Rattus norvegicus: one gene and its partners. The protein of the gene in region 3 interacts with the protein of the main gene of each other region in a pairwise test. Links are inferred from orthologs where the notes say so. Each region holds a gene or a part of one and is shown on either strand. Other genes may lie near its edges. The genes, in order: Mrpl53, Fam13c and Kif2a.

What was found.
Region 1: the proteins of Kif2a (region 3) and Mrpl53 interact in binary tests that used the Homo sapiens proteins (3 or more experiments, as listed by UniProt). The two-hybrid records come from large-scale screens. The link is inferred for Rattus norvegicus from reciprocal best matches to the Homo sapiens genes KIF2A and MRPL53.
Region 2: the proteins of Kif2a (region 3) and Fam13c interact in binary tests that used the Homo sapiens proteins (3 or more experiments, as listed by UniProt). The two-hybrid records come from large-scale screens. The link is inferred for Rattus norvegicus from reciprocal best matches to the Homo sapiens genes KIF2A and FAM13C.

The regions. Positions count from the first base shown.
Region 1 is NC_086022.1:117,171,626-117,174,492, forward strand, and holds Mrpl53 (39S ribosomal protein L53, mitochondrial), read left to right. Parts: upstream 1-1,417; 5' UTR 1,418-1,421; coding exon 1,422-1,513; intron 1,514-1,692; coding exon 1,693-1,805; intron 1,806-1,900; coding exon 1,901-2,055; 3' UTR 2,056-2,308; downstream 2,309-2,867. Other genes in the region: Ccdc142 (coiled-coil domain-containing protein 142), read left to right, coding at 48-247, 384-661.
Region 2 is NC_086038.1:18,064,823-18,068,473, reverse strand, and holds part of Fam13c (protein FAM13C), read left to right. Parts: intron 1-2,280; coding exon 2,281-2,404; 3' UTR 2,405-3,651.
Region 3 is NC_086020.1:40,161,941-40,166,308, forward strand, and holds the start of Kif2a (kinesin-like protein KIF2A), read right to left. Parts: upstream 2,841-4,368; 5' UTR 2,795-2,840; coding exon 2,731-2,794; intron 1-2,730. UniProt on the Homo sapiens protein: Plus end-directed microtubule-dependent motor required for normal brain development. May regulate microtubule dynamics during axonal growth. Required for normal progression through mitosis. Required for normal congress of chromosomes at the metaphase plate.

The DNA of each region.
Region 1 (2,867 bases), on a different chromosome or scaffold from region 3:
TGGGGAGGCAGAAGTGTCTGGTGGCCATATTGTATCTGAACATCTAGCCTGCAGGGGGCGCTGCAGCTCAAACAAGACTTCGGAGTGGTCAGAGAGGTTCTGGAACAGGAGCAGTGGGGCCTGTCCCCGGAGCTTCGCCAGACTCTGCTCTCACTCAGCATCTTCCAGCAGCTGGATGGGGCCCTGCTGTGTCTTCTGCAGCAACCCCTGCCCAAGAATCCAGTCCAGAGAAGACCTCACCGTTGCTGTGAGTTATCGCCCCTCCTCAACCCTAGGTGTCTCTAAACCCCTTCCATCACTGCTTTAAAAGACCCACACCCAGTCTCACCATTGATTTGGCATCAGCATTACCCACCAACCCGCCTTCCGCTCCTGCTTTTCAGGTTTTTGTAATGAGGTCCAGACCATTGAACTGCCCACCAGCAGCCTCAACAGCCTGGAAAGTCTGGCACCCCCTCTAAGGCCTGGAGTCTCCCCAGCCCAGAATACTCACCTGCTAAGCACCCTGGGGGGAGGAGGGCGAGGGGGAGGGGGAGGAGGACCTAGTCCTGAGGCTTACCTGGCTGGAAACCAGCAAGCCTGGCTTGCCCTGAGGCTGCACCAACACCCTCGTTGGCACCTGCCTTTTTTCTCTTGCCTAGGGACAAGTCCTGAACCCTAAGTTGACCAGAGCCAGGAGTTCCAAACCCTGCCCCAGGCAATGAACTGTATGTTAGAGAGGCTTAAAACTGGGCGCTTGATAAAACACGTTCATAAACTAGAGTCTGGAATTGAACCCCAGATGATCCTAGGATCTGCAATTCAGAGTAATAGGCAAACTACAGCCTGAAATCTGAAAGTCGGAAACAATGGAGACATCTTAGAGCTAGAAATAGAAGGGGGTCTATAGGGTTAGCTCTCAGGAGACGGAAGCAAGCTACTTGCTTTCTCTTGAATCCCAGGAGCAAGGCTAAAGTTAATTCATGAGGAAACACAGAGGAAGCAAACATTTCTACATGTGGAGGGACCTGTCTTACCCCTTCTTCATTTCTACTTTTAGTCATTAGGCTGCAGGACCTTGACATTTAAGCTTTGGCTGTTGCTACCTGGGCAAAGCTTGCCTTCTGGTGGGTGGACAATCCCTGCTGTGATCGTCCTCTCAACGGAAGGAGCCAGGATTTAGGATGGTGCTGACCTAGATCTAGTAGGTAGGACACTGAAAAGGCTGAAGGGCGTTTTCGTACGTAGGGGGGTCTTACACATTCACTGCCTATGCTGTGTGTGGCACAGAACACTGCTAATGGCCAAAGTATTTATGGACCACCAACTCTGGGCCCCTTGGCAGCCCCGGAGGGCAGCCGGGAGAAGTACCCCGGAGGCCACCGGAAGTCTGTTTCAATAAAAGGATCCCCAGTGCTACTCCTTCCGGGGCGGAGGTAACCATGGCGGCGGCTTTGGCTCGGCTCGGACTACGGCCGGTCAAGCTGGTTCGAGTTCAGTTCTGCCCGTTTGAGAAGAACGTGGAGTCAACAAGGTACAGGTTCTGGGGAGGTGGGAGGCGTCCGCGCTCCCCACACGTGCGCGCGCACCCTCGACCCCCTCCCGGAGTTCCTGGGCATCTCAGTCCCGCCCTCCCTCCCTCGCGCGCACACCTTGGTCCCTGCTCCAGGTTCCCTGGTCCCCGGACGCGCTTACCCTGCCCTCCCACCGCAGGACCTTTCTCCAGGCGGTGAGCAGCGAGAAAGTCCGCGCCACCAACCTCAACTGCTCTGTGATCGCCGACGTGAGGCATGACGGCTCTGAGCCCTGCGTGGACGTGTTATTCGGTAAACTTGACAGGGACACTGGTGGGCGAGGACGGAGCGCGACCCTAGCTCTACATATTCCGGGTCCCTTACTCATCGTTTTGCATCTTCCCCAGGAGATGGGTATCGGCTGATTATGCGAGGAGCCCACCTCACCACTCAGGAAATGTTAAGTGCCTTGGCCTCCCACATTCGGGCTAGGAACGCTGCCGCAGCAGCATCTGCACCCAGCGCAGACAAGGTCGCCCCAGGTACGGGTACCCGCCGATGACATTGTAGAAGAATCCCAACAACCGACGTTGGCTTGAAACTAAAGACAGTGGTTTAAGAAGAGCTGGGCTTAATCACTCTAAATGCTGCATGGAGGTCATGATACTGAGCAAGAACCCTAACAACAGTGCTGCTGGGGCAAGATAAGATTGGGTGGTGAAGGGTCCGTACAAATTTGAATTTTTCTTTCTCACTGCTTAACCATATTTGAATCTGTCACCCACGTACATTTTAATTAAATATTTATTGCCAAATGAATGCTGTTTTTCTTAGGTTGTTCACTTGGATTTTTAGAGAGGGTCTTACATGAGCTAACCTAAAACTTGATATGAAGACCACGGTGGCCTAGAAATGTGAAAGAAATTTTCCTGCCTCAGGCTCCTGAGTGTTGGGATTCCAGCCATGCCCCACCTTTGGCCTTCAGTACTCACCTTTCTTAGTAGTGTCTCCTCTCCATTCACTCTCATGGAGCCACCCATTCTGCTGTCATTTTAACTACTCAGGATTTAAACCCTACATTTTTATTTGGTTTAATCCCATCTTCTGATTATGATTACCTTCTGCCAACTTCCTCCATATTGCCACCAACATTCAAGTAGAACAGTCTCTTGGCTCATCTGACTTCCCTGCTCAGCCTTCTAGGCTAGAAGTTCAGTGTTTTCTCTCCTATCCCTCCCTTTCCTGGTCTGTCTGCACTGAGAGGAAAGAGGAGCCAGCCCCATCTATTGGCACACACTATTCCAGCTACTCAGGAGGCCAGCCTGGTCTATTTAGCAAGACCTTTCCATTCTCATTCTCCTAGAGGCCAGCCTG
Region 2 (3,651 bases), on a different chromosome or scaffold from region 3:
TCTGCCTGTTCCACGAATGTTTTCCTTTAAATATCTGTTCTAAACACCACCATCCATTCCTGTTTGTTTTATTCCAAGCTTTAGTCAAAAAGTTCATAGCTATTTTTCGCTCCCTTAAATATTTAGTTGGCCCACCTGTCTTCCTATATTTTTCTATCCCAACCCAGCTGTTGGAATACACCCATTAATTCCTAGTAATTTGTTTTATTGCGTTACCAACAAAGTTCCATATAGAATCAGGTAATGAATGTTAGTGTCTTTTGGAGAAGAGACAAATTACTTAGCTGCCCTCAGTCTCTGACCTCAATAAGCTGCAACACTTTGTCTCCTGGGATAAGTTTGAAAGCTAGGACTATGACAGGACATTAGTCTCAACGCCCTGGCCATCAGCGTTTCTAACTTGTCACAACTCCCAGAGGACGGCAGTGCAAATGGCCTAACAAAACCCAATACAATGACATTTATTTAAAAAATTTTAAAAAGCGAGGTTGTGTGTTTTCCAGCCTGAACTTGGGAGACAACAACACTGGGCAAAAATGTCAAAAGATTGGACATTCTCGCAAGCATGTGACTTTGCCAAAGTCACAATCTAAATGGCAGATGACTACGAGGTTCTAAGCATCTACTGCCTTTCTTGCCTGCCTTGCTGTCCTTTCCTCTCAGCTGTAAGGGAGCGGGACTGTACTAAAGCATCGTGAGACGTCCACCTAGAGGGCTTGCTTCACAGTCCTTGGGAGCTTTTCTCTTTTGCTATCCATCAGCAGTAGGCTTCCCAGGCGAGAAACCTGTGGCTCGGCAAGGCAAAGCGACAGGCTTACTAGGTGCTCTAAGCACACATCTGATTTGCATTTAAGTTCCTCTTTAAAGTTATTCAGCGGGAGGGTCTTCATTCAGCCAAACATCTGCTGTGGGTTCAGGATTTTGAGTTTAAATAGTCATTGCATGAAAAATGAGTTAATTAGGTTTAAGCCACACACATAGTCTTTTCTTTACTTTGAGGTCCCTGAAGAAATTTACACATGGACCCGTTCGAACACAGTGTGCAATGGATTCTGGGAGGTTTCAGTGTGACGAGTCTGCCTGTGGATCTCTCAGTATTATTTCACATGACTTTTGGCAACAATGGTGGTTTAATCGTTCTCCCTGTTCTTAGTAGTAGTCATTGACTGTGGCTCTGTGTAAGTCCATGCATCAGGTTATATCTAAGAAAGGGTATGCAGAAAACCAGGACTGCTGCTCATCCATGCCCTACTGCAGTGAGGGAACACTTCATTTCATTGTACTTACACTGCCTAAACCTACTTAACATACATCCACGCTTGATCTACGTGAAACTGTATGTCCTCTTGTGGTGATAACATGTCATCTCAATGAGAAAACGCTCATTTATTAACACTAAACTGTGTTACATGGCAAGACAATAGCGTTATCTTGTTTCTTTAAGACGATTTACCACTAAGATTTAATCCATTTATGAAGCTAAAACGACCATGAGAATTGTTTTTCTATACATGTAGCGACACTGTAAGTATGGTAATAGGACAAGCGCACTCCAACTGTGTGTGGACCAAGCAAGGTCTATGCATTGAAACATGCCCAGCCTTTGAATTAGTGTGCAGAAAGAGAGCCATTGCAATTGAAACTATGGATGTGTTCACATGAACGGAGACCAGAGAACAACTTGGGGGGTCAGTTCTTTCTTCCACCAAGTGGTCATAAGGCCATCAGGTTTGGTAGCAGTCACCGTCACTACCCACTGAGCCATGGCACTGGTCTCAATTCAAATGATTTGGACTCATGATTACTTCCGTCAAAGGGACAGGAGTTCCCATCAGCAGAAACAGGTCTAACCACAAGGAAACTTGGAAACATTCCCAGCGTACAAGGCAGCCCCTGGGAAGGTCTTGCCACTATGAACTTATGGGTTACTCGTATAATTGAATCCCTGCAGTGTTTTCAGGACGATTATGGAACTACCGGAAGTAAGAGGACGAGAGGAAAGGCCATATTGGAGGCTCTAGCCATTGCCTTTTCTTCAAGTCTTTGTACCTGCACCATTGTTCTGTGCTCAGGCATGGGGTCTCGTATTGGCAAAGACACGTGGCCAACGTTTGCTGCTGCTTAGAGAAATGGAGCAGGGGTGGGATGAGACCAAAGGGACGTCAAGAAGGCACCATTAAAAGAGAGCCACCTGGAAGCCACGGGCCCATCAGTTATAAGAGGATCTTTTTAAGACCTGGCTCGAGTATTGACTAATAGATTGTGTCTTCTTTCCTGCAGAAGCCCACAGAAGGAAGACAGGATGCCAATGGCAGACGAGTACTGTGCATACAAGCACATAAAAGCCAAACTGAGGCTGTTGGAGGTCCTCATCAGCAAGCAGGATGTGGCCAAAACAATTTGAGGTTCGGCTCTGATCACTTCCTCTAAAGATAGAAGTCAAATTTATTTTCCTCTACCGTTCTTGCTCAGTAGTTCTGATGTCCTGAAAGCGGAAGCACTTTAGAGATAGTATTAGCTGTTTTGATGAAGGGAGAGCTAGCGTAATTCTACCCAAGAAGGCGTCTCAATAGGGAAATGATAGGTAATATTGGAATGGGCAAAAGCCTCCATGACAAACTGAAGTCCAGAGTCAAATGTAATTGTTTCAAAAGACGTCTAATACCTTGTTAAACCAAAATTAACACGTAGGCAGTCTACCTGCTTAGGAAAGGTTTAGAGGTGTCCCCAAGTTGATTTTATTGATGTATGTGAAGAACACGGTTTAAATACATTGGTGAGGCAAAGAAAACTTGTGCTCTACATTCAGGGAGGAAAGCAGCCAGACAGAAGGGAATTTAAGTGAGATGACATCCACTACCTTGTCCTCTAAGTCTGTAGACGGTCAACACTGTAAAGTGACTCAGCTGTGTCACTGCTAACCTCTTATTTCTATGGAAGTAGTGCATCACTCTATCTGTTATTTGAAAATTTACATTTCCAGTTACCAAAGTTCACTTGGATGGCATGTACTTTGTGAATTATCTTTGTCTATAACTGAAAAATGTTTATATTAAAGTAAACTATTAAAATAGGTATTTTGGATAGATGTGTCTGCAGTAATAAGCTACTGTGCCCATAGTACTATTGCTGATTTTCTTGTTTCCTATACTAAGATCCTATAACTATTTTTCCATTGGGAATATGCATCTTTGTTAATGTTCCAAGGTCTGTACTTTATAAAGTGAAATACCTTTTTCGTGAGCTGCATTCCTTCTGCACAGGGTAAGAAGCTTGGAAGTCACCAAGAGACCTTCTCTTTGCTTTAGTCAGTGTATCTTGCTTTTTCTCCACTCACCAACGTCTCGGTTTGGTTTTTGTGAAATCAAGTAACAGATAGACATTTTCTCATTATCAGCACTGTTCATATTTCTGTTTTCTGTAATGTTTAAGCATGGTGTTGAAGAAACTCAAGATTTTCATATTGCTTGGGCGGAGAAAAGAAAACAGATTCTAGACACGGACTATGTCAGAGCGTGTTGTTCTCTCTGTATTCACCTGACGTTTTCAACCTTTTATGAATCAGAGTAATGGCCTTCATAAATTTGTTTAATTGAAGTCATCTACTTGTAACAGGACAGATACACAACTATTTGAGGTTTACAAATTACA
Region 3 (4,368 bases):
CTCACCTGTTACCCACCTGAGTGTGGGGTCATGACAGATGTACTGAAGCAATTCCTAAGACCATTAAATAATATCAATATCCTGGCTCTGGTTGAAGTAAGTGTGGGTATCTTCCCATGCCTCCAAAGCCTTCTCTATCCCAGGGGCTCTAAACGTTCTTGAAGCTGCAACCCTTTAACATACGTCTTCATGTTGTGGTGACCCCCCAACCATAAGACTACTTCATTGCTCCTCTATATCTGTAATCTTGCTACTGTTATGAATCATAATGTAAATATCTGATATGCAGGATATCTGATAATGTGACCCCCACAGGCTGAGAGCCACTGCTCTACACTGAACGTCTACTTTAGTCATATAGTTTGAAAACATATTAAGCAGTACAGTTCTAAGTATCAATGCTTAAGGAAATATGCTGTCTCACGAGCAATACAGGATGACATAGGAATTCAGAATCCCACCCACTGGCAAGCAGATTTCAATCATCAGTGAGGACTTACTGGGATTAGCGTTTTTTGGTAGGATCTTCAAAGATACGAATAGGCCCATTTTGGTTTATGATTTGGCCTTTGGAATCTTTTACTATACGCTATCACTGATAGGAAAAGCTGGTCAGGACAAAGACCATACATGCAGTGCTGTATCTATTACTAGGTTAACAGCAGGTTGAAGTGGCCTTTATTTATTCCTGTGATTTGAGTTTTCAGGATATCAGTGTTTATTCAACTACTAGGTTCATTTATTTAATTTTATTGTTTTGCAATAAAGGAAGCAAAAAAAACAGCCTCTTTAAAGTAAAAAGAGGGAGGGCTTGGAAGTGCCTCATAGAAATGAAATTGAACACTTTCAATTCCAGTTATTTCCTTTGAAAGTTACACACTTTTTAGGACTGAGAATGTAGCTCAACCGGTGAATGCCTGATCCCTGGAACCTCACAAATTGGTACTCAGGCGGGAGGCGGGAGCTGTTCAAGGTCCTCAGCTACAAAAAGTTCAAGGCCAGTCTGAGACCATAAGGTCTCCAAAACCAAGAAATTAAACATGTTGTTTTTAAAAAGTTACCTACTTGGGCTCTCTTGCATCCAAGACATGTAAATATTTACACTGTCAGTTAGGGCAATACACACTGTACAGACTCCCCTACTTGGTGAGGGAGAACACTTTTGAAAATGTTTTCTAGGTTACTCTAACTTGGACTATAAAGCTTTTTGTGTATCACAATTTCTGCTATAGGCTGAAGCTAATATCCTAGAATCACCAAAGAACCAAAATTACTTCAAGTCCAATACATAGTAAAAAGCAAATGGCATCTCAGATAAATTGAAGCAGAGAGCTCTTGACTATCGAGTTATTTTTTTAACGATTTCAGTAACTGCCATAGTTAAGACCTTTAAGACTGTGAAGAACATACATTTTATTATACTTCAAGTTTTAAATTAACTCGTAAGTCCTATATTTGTTAATACACAGCCAACCCACATTCACCAAAAAGAAAAATGGCATATTTAAAAGAAAGTAATCTGCAGAGAATTGATAAAGCAAACTCCAATCCAAGTAAAGAAAGCATCCCTTTCCCATTTGGTAACTTCTAAAGCTCTATAAGTTATAATGTATTTTCTCATACACAAAATAATCCTACCAGTTACCAAATTACTGCAGATGCAAAGAGGGAGGGGGAAAAATTAACCATATAAGGTCTTCCAACGCATCATAAATAACAGGAAAACCAATCTACCCATGTATACTGATGTGACTTGGTCAAATTTGGTAGAAACCAAGAACTGTGTGTCACAGTCATGCCCATACTAATTGAAGTAAGGGATGGCCACAATTAAGAAAAAGGAATTGGGTACATGTGGGATGCAGTCAAGAATCAACTCCTAACACTAGCATGTATAATTTCATTCATCCCCTTATACTCAGTATTTCCTTTACAATATAGGTGGTTTTCACTTTACACTTAGAAGTGACAAAAATACCCCCGTCCCCCAAAGAGGGATGAACCTACAGCAACATCCACAAGCCTACGGGTCTTTAAAAGAAATGAATTAAACATGTCTCTTCACCTCGCCTTACACTTTTCTCAGTTACCTCCCGAGGGTGTGAAAATATCAACATCCGGTCGCCCACCCCCACCCTCCCTCTCAGTAGTGTCTCCCGTGGACTGCGTCCATCCTCCTTCCATCCTCTCCTTCCCTTTCAGTATTATCACCTTGGAGAAGCGTATTGAGTATTTCTTTCCGTTACTCCCCCACCCCTTTTCATGGTCGAGTGCAGCCTTCTGTGCACCTGGACCAGCAAAAGAAAGCAGCATGCTTGGGGGGGAGGACAGGCAAAAAGGCCTGACAACCGGGTAGCAGTTAAAGACAACCGGATGGCTCCCCAACGGCCTCTGGCTGCCAGTCGGGTCTCTCGGTGCGGAAACCCCCGATCTTCCACGCTACCGCCCTCGCCACGCCACCGATGCAGAGACCCGCAAAAGGCAGAGCCGGGGCAGTGCGAGGCACGGTCAGCCCTAACGGAGTCTCCCGGGCGGAGGACCGCGAACCCGGGAGCGGCCCCCGCCCTTCGGCCGGGGCCCCGCACTGCAGCGGCGCCCGGGCGGACCCCACGCCCGCCTCATCCGCACAGCGCCGCACACAAAAGCGCCGGGCCGCCGCCTTCCCGCCCCCACAACCCGTAGAGCAATCAAAGGGGCGGTCGGCCCGGCGCGGCCAGAGGCGCGGCTCACCATCGCTGCGCTTGATTTCCACGTAAATCCCGATCTGGATCTTGCCGAAGTTAGCCGTTGCCATCACCTCATCCGGAGCGGCGGCGGCGGGCGGGCGAAACAGACGGGGAGGGGGCGGGGTGGCGGCGGGAGGGGCAGCGGTGGCCCGCGGCCGCGCCGGCCCGGGAGGCAGCGTGGACGCGAGCGGGGCCGCGGCGAGCGGCAGCGGACGAGCGGGCTGGAGCCCCGGGCCTGCGGGAGGGCGGGCGGGCGAGCGGGCAGGCGCGCACGCCGGGCGTCGGGGTGAAGCAAGGGCCGCAGCCGTGAGGCGGCGCGGGGGAGAGTGGGAGGGCTCGCACCGCCCGCCCGGACCGACGCTGGGGAGGCGGGGCGCCGCGCGCCTGCGCACACTCGGCCGCCCGCGTCTTCCAGCCGGGCGCCCGCGCGCTCCGGCCGCAGGCGGCCCCGCCCAGCTCCTCTGCGGCCTGACGGCGGGCGGGTCTGAACCGTCCGCGGGAACGGGAGCGCGCAGCCCGGCGTGGTACGAACTCGCCTCGGGTTTGATTCCACACGGCCTACGAGGCGCGGGAAGCGACTCGCGATTCCCTTCCTGAGCTCTGGCTCCGCCTGGACGCTTGCCGCAGGAATGGGTTGAGGGCCGAGTAATGTCAAGGCTTTCGGGGCGCCGGAGACTGAAGGGACGGGCCCATTACAGGACTGGTTCAGTGTATTTCTGTGGCTGTCAGATCACATGCCACTCGGAGGCCTCCGGTCCTCAAGGAACCTTCCTAAGGGTAGGGCATGCCTGGTTCAGGCTTCCCATCAGTTATGGAGGGAAGAGTGTCCTCCACCCTAAGTAGGAACGGAGACCTCCCCTTTTCCCTAACGACCCAGCTCATTGCAATTCAAAGCGAAGCCCCCCTGTGTAGCCCTCTAACTTGCACTTAAGATCCAGCGGGTCTGTCGTACTATCCTATTGCTCCTGTGGAGCTCAAGACTTATTTGCCCTAACTCCAGCAGCTATGACTCAAAAATCAGAGCAAAGACTTGAAGAACACTGAATAATGAGCCTCTTCTGCAGTCATCTGACTGGACTGACTACATCAGCAACATCTGGAGAGTGCCAATACCCTACCCCTGCCAAGCAAAGGGGCAAGTGGACAAGAGACCATTGGAAACTTTACAACATCGTATAAGCCTGAGTCTCACTGGTAGTGCTTGATGGAAGAAGCAAGTTTTCATGATCTACTTTGCCTGGTCTTTTCCCCCCCAATTCCTTTTTATAATTTATTTTTATCTTATGTATATTGGTGTTTTGACTGTATATATGTATATCTGTTTGAGGGTGTCAGATCCCTGAAACAAGAGTTACAGACAGTTGTGAGCTGCCTTGTGGGTGCTGGGAATTGGCTCGTCTGGAAAAGCAGTTAGTACTCTCAACCACTGAGACATCTCTCCAGCCCTGCCTGACCATTCTTAAGCTGCATGTGATGAATCAAAATATGGGCCTAAGAGTCGAACGTTGGAATATAAGTGTAAAAAATGCTCTTTTTGTGCCTGGAGTTTCCAATCTAATAAAAGCAGTTCAAGTAACTCCTTTGTTTGTTTGTTTGTTTGTTTGTTTGTTTTCTTTTTTTTCCAGAGCTGGGGACCGAACCC